Linked DNA regions of Pelodiscus sinensis. The protein of the gene in region 1 interacts with the protein of each later gene in a pairwise test. Links are inferred from orthologs where the notes say so. Each region holds a gene or a part of one and is shown on either strand. Other genes may lie near its edges. The genes, in order: SRC, ESR2, RARA and VDR.

The links.
Region 2: the proteins of SRC (region 1) and ESR2 interact in a two-hybrid assay, tested with the Homo sapiens proteins (2 studies listed by BioGRID). The link is inferred for Pelodiscus sinensis from reciprocal best matches to the Homo sapiens genes SRC and ESR2.
Region 3: the proteins of SRC (region 1) and RARA interact in a two-hybrid assay, tested with the Homo sapiens proteins (2 studies listed by BioGRID). The link is inferred for Pelodiscus sinensis from reciprocal best matches to the Homo sapiens genes SRC and RARA.
Region 4: the proteins of SRC (region 1) and VDR interact in a two-hybrid assay, tested with the Homo sapiens proteins (2 studies listed by BioGRID). The link is inferred for Pelodiscus sinensis from reciprocal best matches to the Homo sapiens genes SRC and VDR.

What each region holds. Positions count from the first base shown.
Region 1 is NC_134728.1:24,429,246-24,436,447, forward strand, and holds the start of SRC (proto-oncogene tyrosine-protein kinase Src), read right to left. Parts: upstream 3,050-7,202; 5' UTR 2,543-3,049; intron 1-2,542. UniProt on the Homo sapiens protein: Non-receptor protein tyrosine kinase which is activated following engagement of many different classes of cellular receptors including immune response receptors, integrins and other adhesion receptors, receptor protein tyrosine kinases, G protein-coupled receptors as well as cytokine receptors.
Region 2 is NC_134714.1:15,611,061-15,618,349, reverse strand, and holds the start of ESR2 (estrogen receptor beta), read left to right. Parts: upstream 1-4,259; 5' UTR 4,260-4,321; intron 4,322-7,289.
Region 3 is NC_134739.1:10,843,875-10,851,398, reverse strand, and holds the start of RARA (retinoic acid receptor alpha), read left to right. Parts: upstream 1-4,505; 5' UTR 4,506-4,610; intron 4,611-7,524. UniProt on the Homo sapiens protein: Receptor for retinoic acid. Retinoic acid receptors bind as heterodimers to their target response elements in response to their ligands, all-trans or 9-cis retinoic acid, and regulate gene expression in various biological processes.
Region 4 is NC_134729.1:79,077-86,389, reverse strand, and holds the start of VDR (vitamin D3 receptor), read right to left. Parts: upstream 3,021-7,313; 5' UTR 2,917-3,020; intron 1-2,916.

The DNA.
Region 1 (7,202 bases):
GAAAATAATTTAACACAAACAATACACTTTGGTTACTTCTATACCGAGAAAGTGGTAAGTGGTTTCCTCCAATGGCACTGACCACCGTGAACGCTGTGGTGTAGACAGGATGCAGACACCTAACCATCGTGTCCTCTCATTTTGCTCGCAGAGCAGCTTCAAGACATGCCCGCTTTCTGTCCATACTACAGTTTCCTCTCCTGCAAACACCGGGGTGAGTGTGTGAAGGGGGAGGAGGGGGGCACCAACAAACACCGAATGCTTTCTCCATGCAGACAAAGTTTTAGACAACTTGACAACCTGTGACAAGTGCTGTATTCCTGGTGTGGATCAGGTTTGTTATCACCACCACCCGCAGCAATTTATAAATGGCACAAAGAAGTCCTTCACCCACAACCAGCAGGGTTAAAACCATAGACACCTCAGCCTGGCCCCTACCCCCTACCCTGAAGCCTGGCATGATAGGGAGCATTCAGAAAGCTAGCACTTGCTGGCAGCAAACAGGCCTGGCCAAAAAGAAACCCTCAACCCCTCCAGGTGAGCATTGTGCCCCATAAACCAAGAGCAGCTACCTGGAAACCTTTACCAGGGAGGTGTTATAGTCAAGGATGACCTAAAATACCCTTAACAGTCTGTGGGATCACCCTGGTATTGAGCTGTTCTGTGGAACAGGTAAAATAGTTAGCCTTTGCCACCTCTTTTGGAGGAAAGACCGTATATACATGTTCACCCTCTCCCTCTCCTCCTTCCCCCACTCCCCCCACTGACCATCTGGGTTTTTTACAAACTATAGACTATTGGGTGGTTGTTCCTAGTCTATACGAATACAAAGAGACTGTGTGAGATAATTCTGGGTTCCAATGCAGCCTATTTCCTAAGGGCATTCAGTCACTACAGTAATGGCTGCAGGCCCAGAAACTAACAATATGGGCTTCTAAAGCCCTAGGTTTTATAAAAATGGAAACTGATTTAGGAGGGCTTCATATCTGTTGGTGCTTCAGTAAGTACCAGTGTTCCCTGTAAGCTGAGTGCTTGGGTGGCTGCCCAGGAGAGATCCAAATGCCACCCAGCTGATTAGTAGAGTGCCCCCAGCTATCCAAAGATAGTGTGTGTTTCTATTGGTGGTACACATCTGCACTTGGTACATAACAAAATTTATTCTGCCCACTGATGGAAAAAATTAGAGGAAACATTAGTAAATACTTATAGCAACAGAACCCCAACAAAGCTAGGGAGGTAAGTCATTGTGCAGGTACTCTGACATAAGAGAAGGGAAGGAGCAAGGGAATCAAGGGACAAGACAGCCATCTCATTCATTTTTTGTAGAAAGCCATATAGAAGTTTGCTGGCAAACACCACACAGTACCAGGAACATCCAGCAGAAGAGGCACCCTAAGCCTTCCTGGTGCCAAGATGTATTAAGCACATCCTGACTATCCCTGCCGCTGGGCTTACTCACACATCTCCCAGCAGGTTACAAATGAATGAATCAAGATCATAAAATTCTTAGTGTCTCAGAATGATCACAGAGCATGTGCACCACCCACGCCCCATGTTCCCAGGATAGCTAGGGAGTAAAACAACAACAAAAGCCCATTGAAGTTTGTCAGCTCAGACCCCAGGTGTTTGGCTTCAGAAGAACGAGGAAGGACTCTGTGTAGCTCAAAAGCTTGTCTCTTTCACCAACATTAGTTGTTCCAATGCAAAATATTACCTCAGCCTCTTTGTGTACCTAGAACTACAGTATTTTGCCTGACAGCTCCCGATTACTACAGATATGGCACAGATTCTAAGAGGCACAGTGTTACTTTTTTTTGTATCGATGTTCTATCGATATTCTGATCAGGCAGCAGAAGTTACAGAGCGGTTAATGAATCGTTTTCCAGTCTTTAAATCATAAACACTAAATAAAACAGGACCAGGTTGGGGAGGGAGGAAGAGGGAGGAGCAGCGATTCTCTTACACTGCACGACGTGATGTAAACACACAACCCCCCACAGAGCAGCTACGTCGTTGTTTTGTTTTAAATGAATATTTAACAAATAGTAAAAGGGAACTGGCTCAGAAGACATCAAAGCAGCGGAGTGATTAATATTTCATATTTTGGCCTACATATAGCTCCTCCCCCCCTCCTCGTTTCCCCGACTGGTTTGAATAAATGAACTATAGAAAGTCTTCGGCTAGACAGAGCTGCCCCACCGTTTCAGGCAGCCCCGCACAAGAGAAGAAAGTGCGGGGCTCGGAACAAGTCCCGCACCCCGAGCTCCCCCGCCGCCGCCTCGCCAGCCCTAGCAGACAATACCTTTAGCCCGGAGCTCCTCGGCTAATTCAGGCTGCGGCTCCGGGAGGCTCCCGGCTGCCACACGCAGGAGCAGCCGCTGCCGTCGGGCGGAGCAGTGTAAACCCTCCATTGGGGGCGACAGCCCCAGCAGGCACCCACCGCCCCCAGGCAGGGAGATGCCAAAGCGCCGGGGCAGCCCCCCGGGGCTGGTCGGTGCCCCCGAGCGTATCACCAGCCCCAGCGCGCCGGGCGGTCTCTTACCTTCCCTCCCCGCGGAAAAGCACCGGGGCCGGATGGCTCCTTCGGGCAGCTCCTTTCTCCCCGGCGGCTCGCAGCTCCCGCAGCTACACGCCTCGCCCGCAGCCCGGTGAGACGCCCTGGCCCAGCGGCAGGGGGCCGGACAGCTGCGAGGCGGACACGCGGCTCATGGCCGAGTCCCGGGCGTTCCCAGACACAAAACCCGGCTCCGGCTTTGTCTCTGGCGGGGGGCGGGGAGGAATTAACCCCTCGGCTGCTCGCTCCCCCAGCCCCTGCCCGGCTGCCGCGCTAGCGAATGGCTGGGGACTCGGAGCCGTGATGTCAGCAGCGGTGCACGCCCGCCTGCGGCGGAGACACCTTCTCCCCGCCGTGATTCATGCCGCTGGGTTGAGCATCGGGGCCAGGCAAGGCCGGCGCAGGATCGCCCCCTCCCGCCCTGCCTCCAGGTGCCTGGGCGGCGCCGGCCCGCCCCCTCCTCTCTGCTGCTCCCCGCGCCGCGAATGGGATCCTCGCTTCTTAGCGATTTGCCAGGGCTCCCCCTCCCCCAACGCCCCCCCAAAGGGGGAATATGGCAGCAAACCGGAAACAGATGAAGGGAAAAGAACCAGCCCCCCCCCCCCCCGTTTGAGATCCCCCCCCCCCAGTTTCTTTTTAATAAGGAAAAAGGGCTCCGGGCGCGCAGCCAGCTGGAAACTGGCGTAGTCCGGAGCGAAGCGCCGACGTTTGCAAGACAGGGCTGGACGTCGCTTCGCTCGACGCGGCTCCGGTACCCAGCCCCCGGGGCCGCTAGATGGGTGGCGGGGCTGGAGCTGCAGAGGCTGGAGGCGACGCATAGAGCAGCTGCCTCTGCTGGCCATCCCGAGCTGGAGGGAAATCCCGGGCTTGCTGCTGGCTTCCCGGGGCCCCCAGAGTGGAATTATTGTGGCTTGTTTATTGTGCGATCTAAGCAACCCGGAGACCCCGTCATGGAGCTGGGCAAAAGGACTGTTCCCTGCCCCAAAGAGCGTCCCATAATCTGGGCAGTGCCAGGCTAGGCAGGCAGGATTCCGGTGGGGTTGCCCATGGGCTTGCTCTAAGTAGCCTCCCAGAGCACAAATAAAAGCTGTGTTTAAAAAGAATCTAGTCTGTTTGCAGATGAGTCTCCACCACTCCCTAAGGTGTCTAAGGGCTCCCCAGTGATCACTCACTGAGCTAATCCTGTGTCCTAAAATGTGGGATATTCCTGGCCTTTTCCCCAGCACTCTTCCCCCTAGTACCTGAGCCCATCAGAAGCATTAATGAGAAGGCCTGGAATTCATACAACTCCTCAAACAAGGTTAGGACTAGAGACAATCCTTTGAAAGTTAAGGGTTTGTGATTTAAAGAGAGAAGACTGATGAGAGAGGGGAAATGAGACAGTGACTTTGTCCAAGGTCACACAGAAGAGCTGGGACTGGAACTCTTGACTTCCAGTGCTACTGATGTTTAGGGCCCTACCAGATTCAGGGATAGGAAAAACATGTCTGACTATGACTGTGTATGCTTTTATCCTATGCTATATAGATTTCACTGGGGGAGACCAGCAGTTCTCAAATTGTGGGTCTTAACCCAAAAGGAAGCCCCAGGGTGTGTATGTGCAAAGTTATTTTAGGGGGAATTGTTGTACAGATTGGACCTCCCTGGTTTGGCACCCCTGGGACCTGACTGGTCCACAATGAAGGATTTTGCCCCCCTGCTGCCACCCCTCTTACACTGTTCCCCCGGGCTTTCTGGCTCTCCCTGCAGCCCTGCTGAGCTGCATGCTGGGCTTCCCAGCTCTTCCACACCCAGTCCAGCTGGGCTGTCATTGCCACCCCCACCCACAGTGTGCCTGTCTTCTACATCCCCTCCCCCCGCAGTGGACCCAGATTCTTTGATCTTCCAGACCAAGGAAGTTGCCATACCAGAGAGTTCTGGTTTTTATAGAGGTGCAACCTGAATTGTCACCCAGACTTCTGAGCTGCCTTAGGGTTAGGGTGAAATTTTAGATTTAAATAGCTGAAATAACAAAATGTATTATTTTTAAAATCCTGTGACCATGAAATTGACCCCAAATAGACCATTCATTTGGTAGGGCCCTAATTATGTATTTACTAGTTCAAGATGCCTCTCCTGAGAGGGCCTCAGCTACCTGGTCCCCAAAAAGGTGCATGAGTCAGTGGAGGTTCTGCGTCAGTTTTTACATTTGTATTCCCAGTTGTATCTGTTCTTTTTCTCAGAAGCTCTATGGATAAATGGAGAACAAACTAGATGATGATATCCCATAAAAATGGAACCCGATTAATGGAAAAGGAAAGTGATTTTCATGTAATCTATTTTATTTTTATTTTTTTTGCATTGGGGTCATTTTTATTGTTTAACTCTGACACCCAAAAAAAAAACAGTTGGAAGAAAAACTATTTTGTTACTTACTCCAGCCCTTTCAGTTGCCTGAGAGAGATCTAAACCCATGTCTGAATCCTCCAAGAAAGGAGGGAAAACTTCTTAAGTTGATGCGCCTGATATTTCTAAAGTGAAAAAACCCCTCCCCTCTAGAAACTAGAACAGTCCTCTGCAACCTTTTTAAGCATGAGATCACTTTTTGAATTTAAGTGCAATCCAAGATCTACCTCAAACCCAAATACTCTTGTCCCTCCTCCTTTGTGCTCCTTCTCCAAGGCCCCACCCTTGCTCACTCCATCCTCCCTCCTACCCCGTCCTTCCTCACTTTCACCAGGCAGGGCAAGAGGGTTGGGGCACAGGTTCTGGTCTTGGGCTAAGGGATTTGGAGTGTGAGAGGGGCTCTGAGCTCAGCCTGGGACAGGGAGTTGGAATGCAGGAGGGGGTTCTGGGCTCAGGCTTTGTAAAGGAGTCTGGAGCCAAGGGGCTCAGGACTAGGGCAGGAGATTGGGGTGCAGGAGGGGGGTTCATGACTGGGGCAGGGGTTCAGAGCTGTCTCCAGCTGGGCACTGCTTACCTCGGGTGGCTCCTGGGTGGCGGTGCAGTGGGGCTAAGGCAGGCTCACCCCTGCCCTGGCCCTGCACCACTCCCAAAACAGCTAGCAAACTCCCTCCCAAGTCCTGTTGTGCCCCCTCTCTGCTCTTTGGAGATAGGATACAGGCTGGGAGAGGGGGCACCTTGACATCAGCGCCACTCTTCTCCCTCTCCTGACCTGCAAAGCAAGCAGGAGGCTCCCAGGGGTGGGGGAGGCAGTTCCAAGGCAAAGGGCAAGAGATATGCAGCAGTAGGGGGAGGAGTAGCTGAAGTGCCGGCACTTGACAGCCTCTTGGCCTAACCAGTCAGGATCACCTGTCAGAGGCTCCAAGATCTACCAGTAGATCCAGATCTACTGGTTGGTGACCACTGAACTAGAATCCAGAACCAAACAACCTGTCAGGCTTTCGTTACGCATCATAGAGAAGTGGAAAAGAATACCAGCCTTAATTGGATGTTGTTTTGCAGCTACCTTTAAGATAACAAGGGAATCTCTTCTAGACCCAACATGTTTGAAGCAGTAGTAATCACATATATCTGAGTGATATCTAAGATAGGATAATAAGTTTAATAGTCTGTAAGTCTCACTCTGTGTCTAATTCATTCTCTGTCCCCACTCACCTGGAATCAGGATTTAAAGAACTTGGAGCACTCATCCTATCCCAAGAGGCTATGGTCCATCACTACAAGGCTGAGCTATCCTTGGGAAGCCACGGGGGGAGGAGGGAAGGAATCATAAATTGCTCCATACCCAAATTCACAGGATTGAGTAAAAACTGAGACTGCATTCGCCTCTCCACCCACATGGCCACTTCCGGTCAAACTTTAGGAGCGTTGGTAAATCCCTGGTGGGAAAGACCCCTGCAGTCACTCAAACCAACTTCCTCTTGGCTCAGGAGAAATGAAGCCAGGGAGAAGCACTTAATAGATCAATATGAGGAAGCACAGGGCTGAATATACAGACAGAAGTGGAAATGAAATAGGGTTCCATCCACATAGCTCAGTAGTCAGTACCTTTTTCTCTTTTTCATGCACTGGGATCTCTCCAAAGAGGGACATTTTCCGGCATCCCACCTCAACCATTAATGGGCACTGATTTATAGATGCACATTTGGCCAGCAGAAGGTATCGGCAAGCCAAAATGTGGACACCTCAAACTATTATTTCCATGGACTCCGAGAAAGATTATTTAGATTGACAGAGGAAGAGTCCACGTTCCTCTAGTTCTAGACAGAAGAACCTGGAAGAACAGGTCAGGAGAGTGAGCTCTTTTCTGCTAACTTGTCCTTGTGACTCACTTCCAACCTGGACATACTGTTATGGATCTTGAGAGCTCTGAATACAAGAACTAACATCACTCTTACCGTATATACCTACTTCACTGAGCATATGTCTGCTGCATGAGTATCTATACAGAGATAACCCCTCCTTCACCTGTCTCAACAATCCTTCCCTGTCATATTATATCCAAGGAAGAAAATGGGCCCATTACTTAAGCCCCCAAACACCTGTAGCTTTTCTATGACCTATTAAATCACAGGCTGACAGCACGGACTGTCTGTACTTCTACAGCAAACAGCATCTCATGCCAGGAAATCCCATGGAACTCTGTGGTGGTTTGATTTTCAAACTCATGTTACTTCAGGCAAGAACTGACACTTAGAGAAAGTTG
Region 2 (7,289 bases), on another chromosome or scaffold:
GGCCAGTCTCTAGCTTCTTGCGTTGGTTCTCTGTTCCTTTTGGCTCTCTGAGCACTGCCAGTCTGCTGCTCAACACAGGGTCTGCGCTCCTTGAGCTGTGTGTGTCTGGCTCTGTTGCTGCAAAAACTGCCCCTCAGCACACAGCTTGCTCTCCCTGGGCTGTCTCTCAGCTCCCTGTTTTTGCAGGACTTCTTCTGCACACAGCTTGCACTCCTTGGGCAGTAGCTAAGCTCTCTGTTTGCTCAGAGAGAGCCAGAACAATCCCAGCTCACAGGGAGGATGGGGCCTGGCCTCCCCCCTTCCTCACTGGCCTGTCCAACCTGTCAATCAGGCTGAGCTGGAGTGTTGGCTGCTTTCCATTGTCTCTGGGGTCTGTCAGTCTCATGAACTTTTCCCCTTCTGAAACTGGGAGCTGACAAACCAAAAAACTCCCACAGAGTTTTAGTAAGGGGTAACAGGTCCCTTACACTTGGTTCATTCAGTGAAATACCTACATTTGCTGAGCACTACCGGTGTTAGCAACTAAGATTAGCAAGTAGTATGAAGCAAAGGGAGGGGTAACTGCCCCACTCCAATGGTGCCCCTGCCTCCACTCTTAATGCAGCAGTCTTGTTTAAGATCCTGCTGCAGATGGCCCTACTGGCTTGACTATGATTTGTGATCTGGCTTATGATGGGTGTTCTTGACAAACTTGCAGGTAAATGCAATATCATGCATACAGGGAAGACAGCAAATTACTAAAATCTGTGCAAGACTTGTCTTATGTAACTAAACTTTTTACCAATTACAGCAGTGAAAACGGTTGTTTCTTTTTAGTCCAACATTTTTAAAAACAGACCACTTAAAGGCCAAGTTGTTTTAAGTGTTTGTATTGATCAAAGAACAAAACTCAACTGCTTCAATTGTTATAGATACTTTGAAAATCATTCAGTCACTTCAGGCAGCTTTGTAATTCACTTCTCTTTCCTCTTGTTCTCACAATAGCAGTATTATCTGTATCTTGACCTTTCCTTTTCTAGTCTGAATAAGATTGAAACATCCCTTCTTGCTCAGTAGGGCAGTTTTATTTAAGCACATTAGTTGTACAGTAAAAAAGAGACCTATTTGGCAACCTTGGATTGAGTACAATCATTGACATTTATAGAAATGCTATTGATGAAGACAGACATTCACTTGGTCACACCCATTCCCACACCAAATTATTTTATCCATGACTACTGCAAATAGGCAGTAACTTCATACCTCCACTCTCTGCTCCCTTCCCACACAAACTCTCTCGTCCAGATGCTTACAAAAACATAACTAAAAAGAACATTTTTGTTGCTCTGTGAAGAACACTTAATAATATACATTAATAAACTTGTGTCTTCCGTGATGCCTACAAAAGAAAATATTCAAGGTCTATCTGAGCAGTGAGCATGGCAGGACATATTTCGCAACAGTCATACAATTATCTCTATAGATTCCCACTCAACGATTCACGTGCCCAGATTTGAAGGTCCTGGCGTTTAAAGCAGTATTGACCATTGCCAAGCATTTTAAATAGTAAGTCTTGTGCTTTGGTAGCACAATTTTTATTAAATGTTTAGCAGTGGTATTATGCCCATCTTTGACATCAGGAGCTATACATTTTTAATTTCCTAGATGATTGACTCTTGGATTACTCATGCTCTCTAGGGCACCTATTATTTCATTTGGGCTCTGGATTTAAGCATAAATGAAATTGTATCTATTTTCTAGTCTATTCAGGATTTGACTTTTATTAGGACTATCCTGGATTTCTGGAATGGATTTACCTTTCTCCTTTAACGCCATATTGTGGAGCTGCAGAAAATGGTTCATGAGTTAAGGAATCACCTGTCTTCTCTTGCTCAGGTACACTGTCAAAAGGTCTTTGCCAACTTGGTAGGAGGCCTCTGTAATTTATCTAAATTCCCAGGCCCACCCTGGACTTCACAGCCTCATTGTGACATGGTATAATCCAGACTCTGGTGTGTCTAGACTACAGGGTTTTTTAGAAAAAAGTACCCTTTTTTTGAAAACAAACAAACAAAAAAAACCAACCTGCACCTGCGTCTAGACTGCAGCTGCGTTCTTTCGAAAGTAAATAGAAAGAACGTGGCAGTTTTTCCGATTGCAGTAAACCTCATTTTATGAGGAATATGCCTTTTTTCAAAAGTACTCTTTCGAAAAAAGGCGCTATTTAATGCAAACTGTACTTTTTTGAAAGAGAGCCTCTAGACTCGCTTTTCCAAAAAATCTGTTTGTAGTCTAGACGCTCTCTTTCGAAAGAGGCTTGTAGTCTAGACGTAGCCTCAGTAAAATATTGAACTGGTGGGTTCCTTTCCCAGAATATTTTCAGCCTTCACCAATTCACACAGCAGGTGCTGCAGTTGCATTCAATTTAGATCAACAGATGATATGGGGGGGGGGGACGCCAGCTAAAGGAGAGGGGGCCCATGCCCTCCCCACACAACACTTCTCCACTCCAGCCCAGGGCCCCTGCTCTCTCCTCATCACCCCACCCCATGTTGTCCGGGGTGGGGGCTCAGTCCCCTACGCTGGCTTCCCACAGCATGTTTGGCTGCTCTCCTGGGTGTAGTAGCAGGGGGCTGCCTCCCACCCAAGGTTGGCTTTTGGAACCAGTGGCTCAGTGAGTTGAGGAGGAGGAGAGCGGGGGGTAAAGGAGTGGCCTCTGGCTTGCTTGGCCACTGTCCCCACAAACTGAGCAAGGGTGGCAGCCTGATGTTGCTGTAGCCAGGCACTCTCCCAGTCAGTTGGGATGCTGCACCAGACAGTAGCTTTCTGGAAGAGGTTCTGGCTCCACCTCTTCCCTTTCAGCTCTAGTCCCGTTCCTTCCTCTTCTCTCCACACCCCCGGCTATGTCTACACAGCTTCCCTCTTCTGCAAAAGTCTATGCAAATGAAGTGTGGATTAGCATATTGCCATGCTTCATTTGCATAATTAATTAGGAGCCGTTTTTGTGCAAGAGGTTTTTGCACAAAAAGGCACTATCTACACAGTGCCTTTTTGCGCAAAAATCCCCTCTTGTACAAGAGCCGTTCTTCCTCATTTTTTCAGGAAGAATGGCTCTTGCACAAAAACCTTGTGCAAAAACGGCTCCTAATTATCTATGCAAATGAAGCATGACAATATGCTAATCCACACTTCATTTGCATAGGCTTTTGCGGAAGAGGAAAGCTGTGTGATATAGCCCTAGATTTGGTTTTGTTACCTATTTGGGGAGAGCAAGCATTCAGTATGGCTAAGTGAGATTACTCCCTGCAGTTGTGCTTTAATAGGTGATGGCCTTAAGTGAACAACTGCAGAAGCAATTTCGTAATAGAGAATGGAAGAGTATTTGCCGTTAACTAGGGTTCTCAAAATCCTAGTTTCTGCAGATCCACACTGACCCCTTCTTCTTCCCTTCTTTTGAGTTTCTTTTACTGTAAAAAGTTGGTGAGGAACTGAGAATCATTAGAAGTCCCTTTTTTAATGGAGGACATCATGTTAGTTCAGAGCAGCTGTACCCCCATTGGCTATACTGTTCTCAATGTTTCTGGGACTTGCTTGCATTATATCTTTATTGACATTAATTTAGAACATATTCTCCATCGTGTACTTTATTAACAAGGGGAACATACAGTCCAGTGTTACGTCTCTTCTCACTTCATTGTCTCAGCATTCTTAGATAGCTGGTAAATGCTGGCTTCGGCAGCTGTAAATGCTGTTATAATTATGCCATTCCATGCATATATAACTTCAATTTTAAATCTTCTACAGTATTTATAAGTAAAATATATTCATTTCAAGGCAGTCTTCTAATTTATATTAAAGAAATTGTTATATTAGAAGAATGATACCTCTTTTTCTCTCATGTAACCTTATATTTCTCGTTGCTTGTGTTTCTGGTTGCTTACCTGGTGTGTCTTTATTCCAACTAGTTATTTAGTACAATAAGTCCTTAATGCAAACAGCAGTCATATGGGACTCAAGGTTTGTAGTTACTATCTCCAGAATTATAGGTTTGGTTCCCAGCTGAGATTATAAATGCTGATCTTTTAAAATACAGTTCACAAAGAGATGTATTTTAATGCTACTCTTAATAGTTATTTAGGATATATGGTGCCTGTAGTATTGCAGCTGTAGTGTTGTAAAAGGCTCTTACAGAAATGCACACATGCCACACCATTTCCTGCCAGGTGCTCATTGTTAAATAGGGAGCTGTGGTTTATTAGCAGCAGTTTTCTTTTGCAGCAGTCTGACACTCTAGCTCCAGGGTGGGCAATAGTTTTTGCAGGGGGCCACTCCACGAGCTTTGGTAAGTCATCATGGGCCACACATTTCTACTATTTGAGTTTGGGTGTAAGAAGGAGCTCTGGGACGCCACTGGGGTGCAGGGGAGATAATGTGACGTGTAGGGAGGAGTTTGAGTGCAGGAGGGAGCTTGGGGCTGGTGCACAGTGCTGGGGTGCAGGAAAGGTTAAGGCATCTGGGTTCTGGGAGGGTGTTTGGGTGCAGAAGGGGCACTCTGATCTGGGGTAAGGGGTTAGGGTGTGGCACAGGCTATGGCCAGGAGGCACTTTGCACAGGCAGCTCCTGTCCCACGGTACAGTGGGGTACTCAGGCTACCCCAGAAGCTGCTGTTGCCATGTTTCTGTGTGCCCCTTGAGGAAAGAGAGGCAGTGGACCTCTGAGCACTGCTCCTTCCCCCCAACACTGTCCTCATAGCTCTCATTGGCTGGAAATCAGCCAATGGGAACTATGGGGACAGTGCTTGTGGGCATGGGCAATGCACGGAAATCCGCTGTCTCACTGTCCCCAAGAGGCATGAAGAGAGAGACCAGCAGTAACTGGCTGCTTTTAGGGCCATGGCAGGCAGGCAGCCTGCCTGAGTACTCCTCTGAGCCACGGGCCGTATTTTGTCTACTCATGCACTAGCTGCATCTCAGGGCCCAGATTCACACTTGGCTACTGCAGAGGAAGGTAGAGCTGTAAGGGGCTCATTACCTCATCAGACCTGAACGTAGGCCTTTGGCTGTGGGAGGTGGGGTAAGGGTGGGTGTGCTGCTTGTGAGCCTCGCGGTGGGCAGAGTGGGGAATTATGCCTGAGCCCTGCTTCTGAGACTGACTGGCTGTGGCACAGGGGAAGCACTGTGACACCCTAAGGCAGTGGTCCCCAACCTTTTGGGGTGCCGGGCGGTGCACGCGCCGCGCGCCCGGGGGCGGGGCCGTGCACGCACCGCGCGCCGGAGGCAGGGCCGTGCACCCGCCGCGTGCCTGGGGGTGGGGTCGCCCATGCGCCGTGCGTCCGGGCACTTGGCGGGCACACATAAATACCCGGGCGGGCACCTGCAGGCACTGCATTGGGGACCACTGCCTTAAGGGGACTCTGGCAGCAGTGCGTGTGCTGCTGGCAGGGTGCAGAGCACTCATTGTGAGCTCTGTGCGTGACTCCCCAGTGGTGCAGGCAAGAACTGGCAAGGCGGCTAAGGGCAGGACATGCTGGGCCACGTGGCCCTGAGCGAAGACGCTGGACGACCTCATGGCACCCCAGGAAATCAACACATAGCCAGCCCCAATCAAGGGATAGGACTGTGGTACCCATGGGATTTGAATCTTCCTCAGCACTGAGGAGTGGAACTCTCAGGGGATGGGAGGCTGCCAGGAGCAAGTGCCTCTGGGGCAACTCAAGCAGTGGCAGGGCAGGGATGGTGAAGGCCACTGTGGTAGTTGTCGTACTGATACCCTCTCTCTCCAGGGAGCCTGCTCCAGGCAGGCCTGGGTCTGTGCGCTGGGGAAGGGAGATTGGGTGGCTCCTCAGCACAAGCACCTCAGTCCCCACAGACTAGTCTGTGCTTGCTCTAGATGCATGGGCATGGAACTGGTGAGGCCTCGTCTCGGAGCACTGGCGGGGGACAAGTGGGCCCCCCCCCCCTTAGCCCTTCAGAGAGCTGGAGAGGGGGAAGACTAGTGAGTCCCCCCTCAACCATTTGGAGAGCTGGAGGGAACTGGTAAAGCCCCCTGTCAGCATGTTTGAGAAGCAGAGAGGAGGAAACCAGTACTTGAGAGAGCTGGGGAGGGAAAAGGCAGTGAGGCTCCCCCACCCCTCCCCTTGGAGAGCCAGGAGAGGGAAGCTGGTAAGGGCCCCCTCCCTGACCCATGTAGAGAGTGGTGATGGTGGACCTGTGAGGCCCCTCTCCTCAGCCTGTTTGAGAGCCTGGGGAACCAGTGAGGTTCCCCATTAGGGCTTCAGTGTACGGGAGGAGGGGGACTGGTGCCTCAGCTCTTCAGAGAGCCAAGGAGAGGGAAATTAGTAAGGTCCCACTTCAGCCCTTCGGAAAGCTAGAGGGGGGTATGGATGCAGCCCACTCTCAGCTCATCAGAGCGGGCTGGGAGGAGGGAAACCAGTGAGGCCTTCTCTCAGCCCTTCAGAGACCGGGGGGCTTAAGTCCCCCCTAAGCCTCTTGGAGAGGCGAGTGGAACTAGTTGAGGCCTTTCAATCCTTCAGAGAGCTGGGAGAGGGAACCAATGAGGGCTCCTCAGCCATTCTGAGAGCTGACGGTGGGGTGCGAGGGTGTGTGTGGATGGTGAGGCTCCCCACAACACCCCAGAGAGCTGTGGGGAACTGAGGAAACCCCTCTCAGCCCTTTGAAGAGCCATGGGGGAGAACGGGTAAGACTCCCCTGCCCCTCAGAGCTGGGGAGCAGGGAACTGGTGAGCCCCCATCCCTTCCAAGAGCTGGGCGGGGGAAATGAGTGAGACTACCTCAGAGAGCTGGGGGGTGGGCACACCTCCCCCTCAGCCCTTGGACAACACGGGGGGAGGGGCGGAAGAGGGGGAAATCAGGTGAGGCTCTCCCTGTCCTTCTGAGAGCTGCGGGAAACAAGTGAGGCCCCAGTGCTTCAGAGAGCCAGGGAGCAGAAATTGATGAGGCCCCTCAAGATTCTCTCAGAGCCAGGGGGGCAATGGGTGAGGCCTGCCCCATAACCCTTCACGGTGCCAGGGTAGGGAAGCTGGTGAGAGTCAGCTCCTCAGAGAGCTGGAGAGGACTGGTGAAACCACTCCTCAGCACCTTGGAGAGCCAGAAGGGACCAGTGAGGCCTCCACCCAGCCACTCAGAGAGTCGGGGGTAGGGTGGGGTGGGAACTAGTGACACTCGCAGCCCTTCTGAGATCTGGAGGGGGGAAATGGGTGAGGTCAACCCTCAGCTCTTCGTAGAATGGAGGGACATGGAATTGGTGAGCCTCCCTCCCTCGGCCCCTCAGAGACCTGGTGGTGGGAACTGA
Region 3 (7,524 bases), on another chromosome or scaffold:
TCCTGCACGCTAGAACTGAACAGGACATCTGCCCTATGATGCCGCCTGGCCTGCGGTTCCTCACCTCCCTCTGCTTTGGGTTTCAATTGGATTCTACTCTTTGATTCTACCCTGCTTTTTATCCGGGAGGAGTAACCCTCTTGAGAGATGAGGATGCAGCTGCCCTTGAAGCAAGCTTCCTCCAGCAGGGGGCGCTCCTGTAGCACCGTGAACCCTGCGGCTCTTGCAGGGACCAAGTTTGCGGAAGTTGGAGGAAGCCGCCTTGCGTGTGTGAGGCCAGCCAGTGTGGGGATCCAGGGCCACCCCTTCTTCAATCTATTTTTAAATGAAAAAGTTGCCTTTCCGGGTTGAAAACGACTTGGGGGTCTGCACCAAGTGTGATCAGTTTTAATGACCCTTCTGTGAGAATGTAGCAAAGACTAAGATGTGGGCCAATGCAGTGAATGCTTGGCATCTGTTATGTCCTTAACTTCTCTCTCCTCCCATGGCTCCTAGGTTAGAGCTGCCCTTGGACGGCAGGAGGTCTGTTCCGAAAGGCAAGTGCAAGGACATACCTCCACTGCGAGGCAGACTCAGCTGTATTTACAGGTTGGGAACCTATGATGTAAATAGATATTAAAGTCCTCTCTCTCTCTCTGACGTGTGGTGCTCTCTGACCAGCTTGACAGGTCCTTCCGCCTATCTTCCCCTGCTGCAGAGACATGACTACATTCTCTGCAGCTCATGTAACAACGTTCAAATATCTAAAAGGTACTACAAGGGGTGGGCTTAAAATCGTGCAAGGGGGGTTGAGTTCGGACATTAGGAAGTTTTTCCTACCTGGCAGAGAGGTTAAGCCCTGGAATAAATTGCCTAGGGAGGTTATGGAATCTCCATCATTGATTTATAACGGCAGGTTGTCACAAGCCAGGGGGTGAACTCGGATTCTCCACACCCACCACCGAGAGGGGTGAGTTCCTGCCCCTTGCGTGGCCAATGCGGCATGTGGAATAATCTCTAAATAACGTCTCTAAAGCCTGCTATCTGTGCAGCTGCACAAGCAACCCAGCTTCCTGGCTATGGGAACTCATCTAGCCACGTGCTACAGCGCATGCGTGGCACGGCTGACTTAGCCTAGGCATTAGCCTTCGCTGTCCCAGGTGAAGGCAGAGAGGGCAGGGGCCCAGAAGTTGAGTAAATGCAGGAGCCCTGTTCACCTGGCTCTGCTGTACTCCCCGCTCAGATTGCTGGGGGGGAGGGGCATACAGACAGCTACTTTCTCTTGTGGGGCTGGCGCCTACCTAGCTGTCACCCCTGTGCACAAAGCCAGTGGTCAAAGAGTTAATGGGCTGCTGGGGAAGATGAGCTGTGACCTAATACGAGGCAGGCTCAAGAACAGATGGGAGCCTTGATTTAAATTCCATTTTGCTGGCTGCTGAACCCTTGAGAGAGTTGTTCCTCCAGCTACCGCCTGGGCTGGGTCCAGTGCCAGCCGGGCTGAACTATTAGCACATTTTCCAAGATGCTGGCAGGGAGAAGGGGTCAGCCAGAGCCTCTATCACGGATACAGCCTTGTGGGCTGCTATTTCCTTGCCCTCCACAGCGCCCAGGGCTGCTTTGCTGCGCTGGCAAGCTGAAAGCAGATTTATTTTTAACCACCCCTGCTGCAGCCTCCCAGTAGGATCAGAGACTCGCTCCGCATCCTCTGCTGTCACGGCTGGTTGCTACCCAGGGCTAGAGAAGGCTCCAGCGCGCTTTCCCCTAGCGGGAAGGGCGCTTGCGGGACTCTGGGGCATGACTGCTCTCAGAAGAGGCAACAGCGCCTTACCACCTCCGATAGTTCCCGTCAGGCTGCACAGGGGGTGGTGCCCAGGTGCCATCAGATCTGTGTTGGCCTCATGGAGGGAATGGGGCCAGGATCAAACCCTTTGCATGGCGATTAAAGCCCAGTATGATCTGGCCTTCAACAGGCAGGCTGCAATCCCCTTGAGCAAGGACTTTGCTGCTGTTATGCTTCAAGGCTAGAGCTAGGCTCTTCCAGAGCAGGCCTGCACCTGTCAGCTGCCCCTGGGAGCAAGACGCCACGCCTCCACTACCACCAACACAGCTGCCTCTTTGCTTGCTCGCTCTCCCCAGGGAAGGCCAGGGAAGGGCAGAGGCCTGGCACTCATAGGGGCTGGCCCCACAGTCCAGGGGCCAGGCTGCAAGGCCCTGTGCTGGGTTTGAAGCTACTCAGGGGAAAGGAACTGGGAGGCAGAGACTGTCTGGGGAGGAATACGGGGCTGCTCACCTGCTGCTTGCCCCCTGCCTTGGGCTGGCAAAGTGCAGAGGCAGGAATCCAGACTGGATCTAGGGCCCAGCCTCAGTCATGCCTCTCAGCAGGCCCCGCTGCTGCCTGTCTGGGTGCAAAGTGGTCCCAGCCATTTGAATCAATTGTCCTCAGGGGGCTCACATCCCTCTGCCAGCCAGAATCTGAGCTGTCCTGCTATGTGGCTGTGACGGTGTGCTGGGGTCCCCCGTCTCCTGCACCCCCAAATGGCACGAACAGACTCCCCCAGCCAGTAGAATGGAGGTAGTTTATTGCTTCTCCAGGATACAGCACAGCACAGATGTCATCTGGTTACAGGAACTGGGGCTAAGAGGCCTCAGTGCCCCCCTTGAGATGGGGGAGTCCCAGCCCCCTCCCCAGCTCCTTCTCCCCTGCTTTCCAGACAGGAACTAACCACCTCTCCTCCAGCCCTGCCCCCAGCCAGGGCAGCATCCACCTTCCTTTGTTTCTCCCCATGGGGGGTGGCTGGTCAGACCAGTTTGGAGCCACCTTTGCATAATGACTCCCCCCTTCCCTGCTGGGTCTTGCTACAGACAGCAGAGGTCGCCCCAGCCCCAGCAAGTTACCCCCACTACCTCACAGTGGCATAGCCCCTGTACTGCCGCTGGCTCGTGGAGAGGGGAGGCTCTGGCTGGGCAGGGCAGTGCGGGTTGGCCCTGCCACAGGAGGGATGCTCTAGAAAAGCAGCGAGTCTGGCCCTGTGGTTGGACTTGGTCCCGCCTTGGCCTGGAGCACAGAGCTGCTGGCCCCTTTTCTCCCAGACAATGGCTGGCTGTAGGCAAAGGCCAGATCTGCGGTGCCTACGCAGGGCCCTGGGCCTAGCTTCACACAGCAGCGGGCTGCGCCCTGGCACTAGACCTCCCTTTGTGTTTTACAGGCGCTAATTGGGTCTGAATCAGGCGAGGCTGCTTTGATCTCTCAGCCATTTCCCACAAAACCCTCATCAGCGATTTCTAATGAGGGGGCCCCACCATCTCCTCTAGGCCTCTTCCACCCCCCATCCCTGCTTGTTAGGCACCGGCCCTGCTTGGCAATGCCGCTGGGGGACAGGCACTCCAGCGTGACACCAGGCTGGGTGCCAGGGAGTGTCGAGGGGTGCCCCCTTCCGGCCTGGCCACAGAGCACCCCTCTCCAGTGGGACTAGAACCCAGGCCCCTCGCAGGGTGCGGGCACAGCCTGTGCTACCTGCTGCCCTTTGGCCAGGGTTGGAATCCTGCTAACAATGCCCCTGAACCGGTTCAACCTGTCCGGTTGCGTCTGGAGAGTCCCAGGAGTCAGGGTGTTACTGCTGAGGCCTGGGGCCCAGTCCCATTTGGGTCATGACACTCTGAGTCCCACGCACCCTTCCTGCGCGCCTGGCGGCCGCACGCTGACTCTGTTCCGCCCCAGAGGTGGCTGCAGTACAGCAGCTGGCCCAAGATCCTTGTGCTTAGGGTGGAGCTGTGCAGCTTAGCAGCCTGGGCACCGGGAGCTGGCCTGCAGCCGTTTGCGGGACCGGTGGCGTGGTTGGCAGCGCGCTTTGGGCAGCGGAAGGAGCGAGAACCGCCCCCCCTCCCAGTGATGCCTTTGTCTGAGCAGGGCCACGGCCCCAAGCCGGGATGGGTGGCCTGCAGCTCCAGGGGATTCTCACCACCCTTTGGGCTGTCCTGTCATTTCCGGCGGGTTTGATTCCTGGCAGCAGCATCCGCGGTGCTCCAGGACAATTGCCGGGCCAGTGAAGTGAGGGAAAGCACCGGGCCGGCAGCCCAAGGGGAGGCCTTTGCTCCGTCCCTCCCAAGCACCCTGCCGCGCAGGGTCCAGGGTGGGGCGGCCGGGGGCTGGCTCGGAGCAGAAGCGTTTTAGGGAAACTTCCCTGCGAGTAGTTGTGGCATGAAACCCGCTGAAGTGCCAGTAAAACCCACCTCCCCCCTGCCCCCCCACACTTGGGGCAGCCAGCTTGGGAACATGCTGGGCCCCCAGGAGCCACCCCACGGGCGGAGAGGGGGCGGGAACGGGCTGGAAACAGGGGAAGAAGGGGGGGGTTGGTTTGGCTTCTTTAGCACCCGAAAGGCCCCGAGCCGGGTGGGGCCCAGGACTGCACGGGAGCCCCCCCCCCCCCCGGTCCGCGTGCACCGAGCGCGCTTGGCCGCAAGGCCCCCGCTGTGCTAGGGCGGCGCGGAGCCGGGCGGGCGCTAGGACCGGGCGCGGCCGGGCTCCTGTTGCAGCTGCAGACGGTGCTCACCCTCCCCCGGCAGCAGGGGAATCCTGGCTGCCGCTTTGCAGGGCTTCCCCCGGCCCCCGGCCCGGCCCCGCGCTCCGCCAGGTAAGAGCGGCCCCTGCCCCCTCCCGTGCAAATGCGCCACCAGATCCGCGCGGGCGGGGCGCCCTGCTGCGCCCCCCGGGGCACCCCCAGCCTGGCCGCGCTGGGGCAGCTGCTGCGGCGCCCCTGAGCCGTGCACGGGGGGGTTCGGACAGTGCCCCCCCCAGGCTGGGTTTGTCCCTGGGGGGGCCTTGTCCCTGCCCCCCCCGCCCCCCCGGCGCGGTGCAGACTCCCTGGCGTGCAGCGAGTTGCAAAGTGCAGCCGCGGGGAAGGGGAAGTGGGCGAGGCTGGGGCGAGCCGGCGGCCGGGCTGGGAGGCGGCCTTGGCTCCCCATGGGGAAGGGCTTCGGGGGGGAGCGGACCCGCCGAGGGCCCGGGCAGAGCGGGGCCTGGCTGCCGAGCCGGAGCACGAGCTGCTGGGAACTTTCCCCAAGTCCTGGGTCTCTCCAGGCCTGTGCCCAGCCCTGCGGGGGAGACATGAAAGGCAGGGACAGAGCCCTGGAGCCGAGGGATGTTAGTCACAGCTGGATCTGCCCCCCCCCCGCCCCCCCATGCCCTGTTTGGGCAGCTGAGCTTCCTGCTCCGAGCTGAGCCCAGCGCTGGGGCCACTTGCATCAGTCTCGCCAATGCGTGTAAAGACCCGCCTGCCCCCACTCCCAGAGGTGGCTGCATTTCGGCCAGTGACTCCTTGTGTGAGCTGGGGGAGGGGGGTTTCTCTCTGTGCCTCAGTTTCCCCAGTTTAATGGAGGATGTTTGCTGCAAAATCTGGAAGGCTTGACCTGGGAAGTGGGTAGTTCTACGGGGGGGGGGGGGGGGAATTTTCCCATTCGTTCAAAGAGCCCAAATAGGTTTTTCTGGGCAAGAAAAGGGATCAAACCCGCCTGGAAGAAAACTGCCCCGATCTGTGTGCCAAGGCCTCAGTGCGCTGCCCCCGGCCGGGGAGCCAGGCCGGCCCCGATCCTGCCGGGGTGGTGCCCGCGCAGGCCTGGTGTGCAGCAGGGAGCAGCTCCGTGCCTTGCTCGCTGTCGGGTGTTGTGGAATCCAGCGCTGGGCCGGGAAGCTGGCAGATTCCGATGGCGGCGGCTGGGCTCTGACCATGGAGCAAGTAGAAGGGGGCTGGTGAGACGTGGCCAGGGCCAGTTTTCGGGGTCCCCGGCACAGACGCCCAGCGGGGGGGAGTCGGGCCGCAGGCTCTGGTCTGTGTCAGAGGACGTCTGGCCAGGGAACGAGACTGACTGACTGTTCGCTAGTTGCATGGCTGCTGCTCCCAGGGCTGGGGGTCTGCTTGTGGCCCAAGCCCTTGGCAAGGGGCGGATGAGTTTGTCCCCTGCCAGGTTTTACAAAGAGAGGGGGCATTGCTTCAGTGTTCCGCATGGGGAAACTGAGGCAGGGGGCAGCGTGGACTTGCCTCAGATTACGCAGCCAGTCCCTGAAGGGACTGGAAACAGCCCAGGAGTCCTGACTCCAGTTGCATCCTGTCCAGCAGCCACCGGTGTGTTTCTCTGGCCCATGTCTACCCGCCGCAGCCCCCCGGCCTGCCGACAGGACTGGGGATCCGCTAGCACCTGCTCTGAAGGGATCTGTGCCCTGGGTGCCCTGCCAGGAGTTGCCAGCTGCTGTGCGCGCACCTGGGGCTGGGTCTCAGAGAGGCCTGGGCTGGGCAGCCAGCTGAGGCAGGTGGGGGGCTGGGTGCCTGCTGCCATCTCTGCCCTGTGATGCCCACCTGAGGACAGACGTCTCACGCCCCAGGGACCAGGCCTCGGGTCGGGGTGCAGCACTGGGTGCGGCTGGGGAGCACCTGGAGGTCCCCCCCATTTGGTGGGGGGAGGTTGCTGTGCTTGACGTGCAGCCTCCCAGCTCCCTGGCTGTCAGTTGTGGGATCTCCCCCCCCCCCCCCCCGCTCCCGTGTAATTATCTCGCGGCTCCGCAGGCTGCCGAGCGAATGTAGGTCATGCAGATGGGTGAGTCCTGCATTTCCATCAATTAGAGCGTGCAGGGGGACGGGGAGGCGTGCCACAGCCGCCCGGTGCGCCAAGGGGGGCTCAGGGCTGGCACCGGCCAATGCTTCTCGCCCACCCAAGGCTCCGACCCCATCTCTCCCTCCTGCGGCAGGGCTGGCTGGCTGGGGAGCCTGGGGGTAGCACGCAATGCGGGGGACCCTACCCAGCCATCTGGGGGCTAGCACCCTCCATGGGCTGACAGGACTGGGGTGGGGGTGCTGGCCACAGCTCAACAGCCCCCTCCTGGCTGGGCTAAGTACGAAGGGGGGGTTTGATCAGTTTTCGGGGTGGGGCAGGAGCATCTTCTGCCAAGACTTTAATTTGATCAGAGCTGGGAATGAGGATGCCAGCCAGTTTCAGGGGAGGAGGGCAGTGGGGGTCTAGTGGTTAGAGGGGGCTGGGAGCCAGGACTCTTCAGCCAGTGGCTCCTTGTGTGAGCTGGGGGTTCTCTTTTTGCCCCTTTCTGTGCCTCAGTTTCCCCAGCTGTTTAATGGGCAATTGGGAGAACGGCTTTGAGATCCTTGGCGAGGCTGCTAGAGGGAGTGCCATCTGTCTGGCAGGGTCGATCTGCCTGGCTGCCACCCCTCCCCATGGCAGCATAGGGGCCTGGTCTGGAAGCACAAACCTGCCAACAGCCTGCAAGGGGGGTCTCCTGAAAGTGCCCCCTGGCTCTGTCCCAGCATACCCAGTCCTGGTGCCCCTCGGTCCCGACCTGCAACCCCTGCTTCTCTTTCTTCCCCCTCAACCCTCTGGTACGATCTGCAGCAGTCAGGGTGGGGGCAGGAGGACTCGATTAGATTTGTGGGGGCTGGGGGGTGGGGCCTGTTAAAGCGGGGGGTGGGAGCTGGGAGTCAGGATGCCTGGGTTCTATTCCCAGCTCTGCCCTGGACTCGCTGCATGGTGCTGGGCGAATCGCTG
Region 4 (7,313 bases), on another chromosome or scaffold:
AAAGCACAGATTGTACAGTCTACTGTAGCTCCCTGTACACAAGATTTGGGTGTAGTGCCCTAGCCAGCCAAAATTGTATGCTCTCTAGTCATGATTAAAACACACTGCTCAAGTCTCTAGTGCATTTGGTTAAAGTCATTCAGCTCTGAGCAATCAGAACTCTTAACTCTCTCATAACAAGATTAGCCTGAACTTTGGTGCATTTCAAGTTTGCGTACATATTTCAGAAAAACCGTCCTATCTGAATGAGAAAGTCTGCCTCATAGCATGAGCACTTTAAACTCACAGCAAAAACTTCAACTCAAAGCTAGTTTATAAACGCCCAGTATTGTGGAGGAAAGAGGCTTTAAAAGGGGGGGGGGGAGGGGAGTAAAATGACTAAGCTTTACATAATTACTCTATGTCTGATGGGTTAAAGGTTCTTTAGTGACTGGACTGGTTTAAAAGCAGTTATTAAAGCCTTTGTCCCATCCTGCCAGATACTAAGTGCTCTTGCCAGACAGCCTACTGACCCAGCTCTGACCTACTGTACTGCAGATGCAAGAGAGGAGTGCCTGTGTTTGCAGACTCCATACTAAAGCTGAACGCAGAACCAAGTTCCCTTCAGAAGGAAAGACATATGCTCTGGAACATGCTACAGCCTCTTATACTGAGCCCAGAAAGGAACATGAGTCACTGGTCTCATCTAATGTGGGAGGAGAGCAAGTCATGAAAGGAAACAAGCTTTAGAGGGGTTTTCATGGAAACTGGCTTCTATGGAACCTTACTTGACTTTCGGAAGTGCCAGACGCCAGCATTATGCTGTTACTACATCAGCCCTCCAAAGGCTAGAAAGCCACACTGCAGAAGACACCAGTCTTCCTTTTATACCTCGCATCTTTGCCCCAAGCAGAAGCTTCTCCTCCTAACCCAGCATGCTCATTCCCCCTTCCCAAAAAAGAAAATGATCCCTCCAGTTACTCTATCCTGTCAAAGTGGGGTCCAGAGATGCCTTAACCTTTCACCCATGTCCTAGACCCAACCCGGGGGGCACAGTTGAGGAGAAGGTTATGCACAAGGGAGCTTATCCCTCACAAAAGAGGGAAAAAAACCTTGGCAATTATATTGCAGTAAGGCAAATTTTTTATCATTAGGAATATAGTGAAACAAGTCACTACAAGTGTAGAGTCTATTGGAACTGGAGGCATTCTATACTGTGCCTCACGAAGTCTTAACCGGCACATTCATTCAATTGGCTCAGACGAAATAACTTGTGGATTGTGAGCCGACTGGAAAACTATAAACAAAATAGCTATGACAAGTAGCAAAGTCACACACAGAGAGGTACTGAGAAAGCAGCCTTAAGACTTGTTTTAACATGCTCATTCGTTATCCATAATATTTTGGTCATTCAGTATCCAGATGACTTAGTGACCAAAATATTATGGACAGCCACATAATAATCAAACACCAAACACAGCAGGTATCTATCTTGCTGCCAGGTAGCCGAGGGGTCTGGTTTTTCACAACACTTGTACAACTTGCAATCCCCAAAACATCTCATTAAACTGATCTGACATTCTTAGATTAAGTGGGAATGGGCTGCAGATCCCGCCACTGGGAATGAAAAAACAGAGACAGCAGAGAGATGGGCAGAAATTGTATAGAGATTCGACTTAAAACCCCCCAACACAGCTAATGTATCGGGGTGGAGAGGCTCGAAATCGGCTCTTCACAGAAGCACAAAGCCCAGGGGTTGACAGCAAGGCAGTTTGCATTGCTATGTGGCTGCAAGGTAAAAGTTTAAGGCACCAGGAAGCGAGTCCTTCTATACAACCACAGGAGGAATCCGGCATTTAATCCGGGCCCCGGGCCCCAGAGAGACATGGACAAAGCAACAGGAGCGCACGACAAGCCCCGACAGAAAGAGGAATAAGGGCGCCAGTCGCTACAGCCAGTCCCTGGACAGCACAGGAGCGCTCCGGCCCGGGGCTGGACGGGAACTGGGGGGGGTTGGACATGGGGAAGGGGGGAATCAACCCCCCAGTCCTCGCCCCAGCCCGCACCCGCGCTGGGCAGGGCTAACGCCAGGGGCCCCCCCCGACAACCCCTCACTCTGCCCCGAGAAAGGGAGCACCCCCCTTCCCCTCCGGGGGGGCCCCTCAGAGCCCGGCAGCGCCCCCCCCCTTCCCCTCCGGGGGGGCCCCTCAGAGCCCGGCAGCGCCCCCCCCCTTCCCCTCCGGGGGGGCCCCTCAGAGCCCGGCAGCGCCCCCCCTTCCCCTCCGGGGGGGGCGCCCCTCAGAGCCCGGCAGCGCCCCCCCCATTCCCCTCCGGGGGGGGCGCCCCTCAGAGCCCGGCAGCGCCCCCCCCATTCCCCTCCGGGGGGGGCGCCCCTCAGAGCCCGGCAGCGCCCCCCCCATTCCCCTCCGGGGGGGCGCCCCTCAGAGCCCGGCAGCGCCCCCCCCCATTCCCCTCCGGGGGGGCGCCCCTCAGAGCCCGGCAGCGCCCCCCCCCATTCCCCTCCGGGGGGGCGCCCCTCAGAGCCCGGCAGCGCCCCCCCCATTCCCCTCCGGGGGGGGCGCCCCTCAGAGCCCGGCAGCGCCCCCCCCATTCCCCTCCGGGGGGGGCGCCCCTCAGAGCCCGGCAGCGCCCCCCCCCATTCCCCTCCGGGGGGGCGCCCCTCAGAGCCCGGCAGCGCCCCCCCCATTCCCCTCCGGGGGGGCGCCCCTCAGAGCCCGGCAGCGCCCCCCCCATTCCCCTCCGGGGGGGCGCCCCTCAGAGCCCGGCAGCGCCCCCCCCCGTTCCCCTCCGGGGGGGGGCGCCCCTCAGAGCCCGGCAGCGCCCCCCCCCGTTCCCCTCCGGGGGGGGGCGCCCCTCAGAGCCCGGCAGCGCCCCGGGGGGGGGGAAGCTGAGCGCCCCCGGAGACCAGCCCGGTACCTGCACGTGCTACGAGCGCCCCCTGCTCCCGCCGGCCCCCCCCCGGCCCCGCGCCCGCCTTTTGACGGGAAGCGACCGGCGCCCCGCCCCCACCCGGAGCCGGGAACAGCCCCGCCCCTCGCCCCGCCCCCACCCGGAGCCGGGAACAGCCCCGCCCCTCGCCCCGCCCCCACCCGGAGCCGGGAAAAGCCCCGCCCCCTGCCCCGCCCTCACCCGGAGCCGGGAAAAGCCCCGCCCCCTGCCCCGCTTGTCCTCTGCCGCCTCACTTCGTCCCTCTTCGGACTGCCCCCCCCAGCTTGCCCCTCCTCCCCCCCAGCCCCTTCCCTCAGACCCCCAACCTGTCCCCCTCCCCTCAGCCCCCAACCTGTCCCCCTCCCCTCAGCCCCCTGCCTGCCCCCTCCCCCCAGCCCCTTCCCTCAGACCCCCAACCTGTCCCCCTCCCCTCAGCCCCCCAGCCTGCCCCCTCCCCTCAGACTCCCTGCCACCCCAGCCTCTGCCAGCCCTGCACAGCCGGGAAAGCCTGGCCGTTCTCTGCTGCATTCCCAGCCAGCAGCCGCTTGTCTCGGTGGCCCAGCGTGGCAGGTGCCCTGGGGACGGGCATGCTGGAGAGGCAGCTCCCAACAGCGCACTTGTCGGAGTGAGCCGTGGAGACGCGCAGGGGTTTGGGAACTCCGAACAGCCGCCGTGGAAATGGCACCAGCTCCTGGCCACAAGGTCCGTGCTGGGGCCCCAGCACTGAGGAGTTTTGCACTTGATTCCACTCTAGATCAGGGTGGTTCTGTCTCGGTCCAGTGTCCGAGCGGCAGAGCTTTTCCGCTCCCCCGCGGCTGCCCCGGCTGGCTCAGCCCTGCGTCTGTTGGCACCAGTGCCCAAGAATGGGAATGAAAGGAAACAATACACAAAATTCCTGCCCTGGGCAGCTCAGCAACCACCAGCTAGACTCCTGCTAGAGGCATGGCTGTTCTGCAGCCCCCTCCCACCTCCAGACCTCACACCCTTTTACACCAGGTGCAATCCGGCCATTCCGAGTGCCCTGGGCACCACGCAGGGCAGCAGAAAAACTGGCCCAGCAACTTCATGAATTTCCTTGCTGAGACTCTGCAGAACCCCAACATGCCTTCCTGTGCTAATGGGCGCTCTCATGAAGCTTCCTTCAAAGGCAGGGCCTTGGGGGGTTGCAGCAGTCTCCAAATCCTGCCTGTATCTGTTTAAATACAGTAAGGTGGTTCCAGCATTTAATTGCCTCTGCGGCTTGCTGTCTGCAGGGATGGCTCGTTTTGATGGATCTGGATTTGCAGTAGCTCTGTCTGGCCTGTCGATGGGGACAAAAGGGGCCAATTGTCCCTGGGCCCAGTGGACTTAAGGGGGTCCGGGGCTGCACCAGTCCTTTTAAATACCAGCAGCGGCTGCAGGGAGTCCTGCACAGGGCAGGAGGGGGAGTCTACACTGCACCGTAACTCGAAATAAGCGACGCGATTTGAGTTACGCAAATTGTGTATCTTCTCTCGAGGCTATTTTGAAGTAGCTTATTTCATCATTTGTCGCTGTCTACGCAGCACCAAATTTCGAAATACAGCGCTATTCCGAAGCACCCCTTACTCCTCGTAGAACGAGGTTTGCAGGGACGTCGGAATAGTGAGCCTGAAATAACGGGCTTGCTGTGAAGACGCGGGATAGCAATTTTGGGATACTCCGGTATCCTGAAATAGTGTTGCAGTGTAGACGGACCTGAGGAGGCTTGGAGCTTCCGGCTGCTTTCAAACTGCCGCGGCGAGTGAAATGGAGGCTGCGGTCGGCTTGTGCATGCACCGTCCTGTCACCGCTGTGCTGTCCCTGCTCCAGCTCCACATAGGGGTGACATTTTCCTTTTTAAAAACAGGGGCACCCGTTGCTCCCTGGAAGGGAGGTATTGATTGCTGGTTTGAGATCTCCAACAGAGATCTGCCTGCTGTTTGTGACCCCCTCTGTTCCAGGACTGGGGTACATAGTGTGAATCAACAAGCTACCATGAGAAAATACCCAGGCTCTGCTTCGCTGATTTCTCCTCCACTGAGAAACAGTCATGAAGGGCCCAAGATCTGCTACCATGTGGCAGAGAGATGACAGTCCTTCCGTCTTATCTGAGGACTTTTCTGACATCTTCCAGAGCCTTAGGAAAATGACCTCCTCTCACTCCAGTGCAGCGACCCAGCACAAAGCTTATGCAATACTTAAGTACCAGTTTAAGTCCCCAAAACATCCTGGTTTACAACACCTGAGACTTTGGACCCAGTATGCATCTGCAGGCAGATTTTCTGTCCTTTTTATTGGCCTTCTGAATTTGGCGCCTTTATGGCATATGAACTCGATATTTTCTCTGTAACCATGAGGGATAGAGACTTACTTCCCCCCTGCTAATGAAAGTCTCGTGTAATCACCAGACTCCATGAGCCGGGACTTCAGGAAACACGTAATATCACAAGATGTGGAAACAACAGGGACTATCACACACATCTGTAAAGTGTTATTTATGGATTTGTAGATTTCAAATTCCTTAATGTGTTTCCTCGTTTTCATTCTTCAGACATGTCTCTGCAAAAGCACCTGTGATTGGCAAGTTTTCAACCAAGGTTTGACATTGTTCTGAATGATTTGTTCAAAGAATTAGTGTGGAGAAGTTCTGTGGTGTGGTTGGTGAAAGAGGGCAGACTGGATGATCACAGTGGTCCCATCTGGCTTTGGAATCTTTGCATTTATGAGTTGGAGCTCCTTGTATAAAATTGGGAGGGGATTTGCAGGAAACTCCATTTAAATGTTGCCAGAATTTAAGCTGGCCAAATAATGGATTTTCAGTTTGCCGGGAATTCAGTTTGGGGGGAGGGAGTTCAGACTGAATTGAAAACCTTTTTTTAAAAAATTTTCAGCCAATCAAAAAGTCAGAAAAAAGTTTTTTAATTTATATTTTTCTTACATTTTTTTTAAATTAAAGGAAATTTCTAAATGAAAAGTCTTTTCAACTGTAAAGATCAAAACTTTTTGTTTTCAAAATATGAAAACAATAACCTTTGGAATTTTGGGGGTGAGGGTTGGGGATTTTTTCAAAACGAACAATGATGCGAAAATGGTACAAATTTGCAAAATGTTTTGGTACTGCCGAATCTGAATTTTTTACTGAAAAAAATGTGGTTGAAAAATTTGGGCTGGCTGAATGTCTCTCACATCTTTCGGCCCCTGATCCCCAGGAGAAATTGGTTTTATGGCCCTGACTGCCTGTTGGGAAAACAAACCTACATCAGGAGAGAAAGTGGAGGCGTCTAACACATCAGCACAAGAAGAAAAAAATCACCCCTATGAACCTATGAACCATAAACAGTAAGTTCAACAGCCTTAATTTGCCTTGGAAAAATGTTTTGCTAAACGTATCTAAATTGGTTTAATGGTGCCGATCAGGAAAATAAATCATAAAGGCAATCAAAATGTGCAGAACTGTGCAGTCAGCTGGGGTGAACACTGGTTATCATTGTGCAAGACAGACTTTTGGGGGCACAAGCAACTTTGCACAGCCTCAGTGTGGGGAAATACAGCCAGGCAGATTCTCCCTTGCCCAGAGTGCTGTGCAAAATGCTACTGACTCCAAGTGGTGTCGATCTGCAGCCACCCTGCACTAGTGTCTCTGACTCCAAACGTTCAGAAATTGCACGTCAAGCCTCTCCCAAACATAGCACAATTGGCTCACAAATCAGAAAACTTATAAGTAAATTAAGAAATTGGAGATTCTTTTATTTGCTTACTAGGCTTAGAGGTTTTAGAGATCGCCTATGTTGGCCTTTGTCTCCGGACATACGAGCTAGAAATGTACTTCCCCATTTTCAGTGAGAGGCGAGATACTCACATAATCCCATGACTCCAGGAGCAGGGGCTTAATGCAAAACACCGAATACCACAAGAGGATAACAGCAGAATGACTACACGAGAGGCGAACTATGGAGAAAAGGGTATTTATTGCCCAGATCCCCTTGACTTTCCTGGGGGCCGTGTCTACACTCCAGAGCCTCTGCGGGCCTAGCCCTCTGGTGTAGCTGCAGCATCTGCTAACGTATCCCAAGGATAATGTGAGGCAAGGTGACGTCAGAGCTCTTCCGCTGGCATAGTTGTGTCTATGCCGAGGGTTTGGCTGCACTGGTATATCAGCGAGGGGGGGTGAATTTTTTACACTCCCACCTGACATAGCAAATCTTCCTGGTGCAGTGCAGGCCTGGGATTGGGCTTTGTACGCCTGGCGAAGCAGAGCCTGGCTGCCTGGCTTTGGTTTAGGGGTGAATGAAATCCTCCGCAGCGGTGCATTGACTGTGGAGAGACCACTGTGCCCTGCAGAGTGAGTGCAGCCGATGGCCGCGATGTAGCCAAGTTGCCAGGTC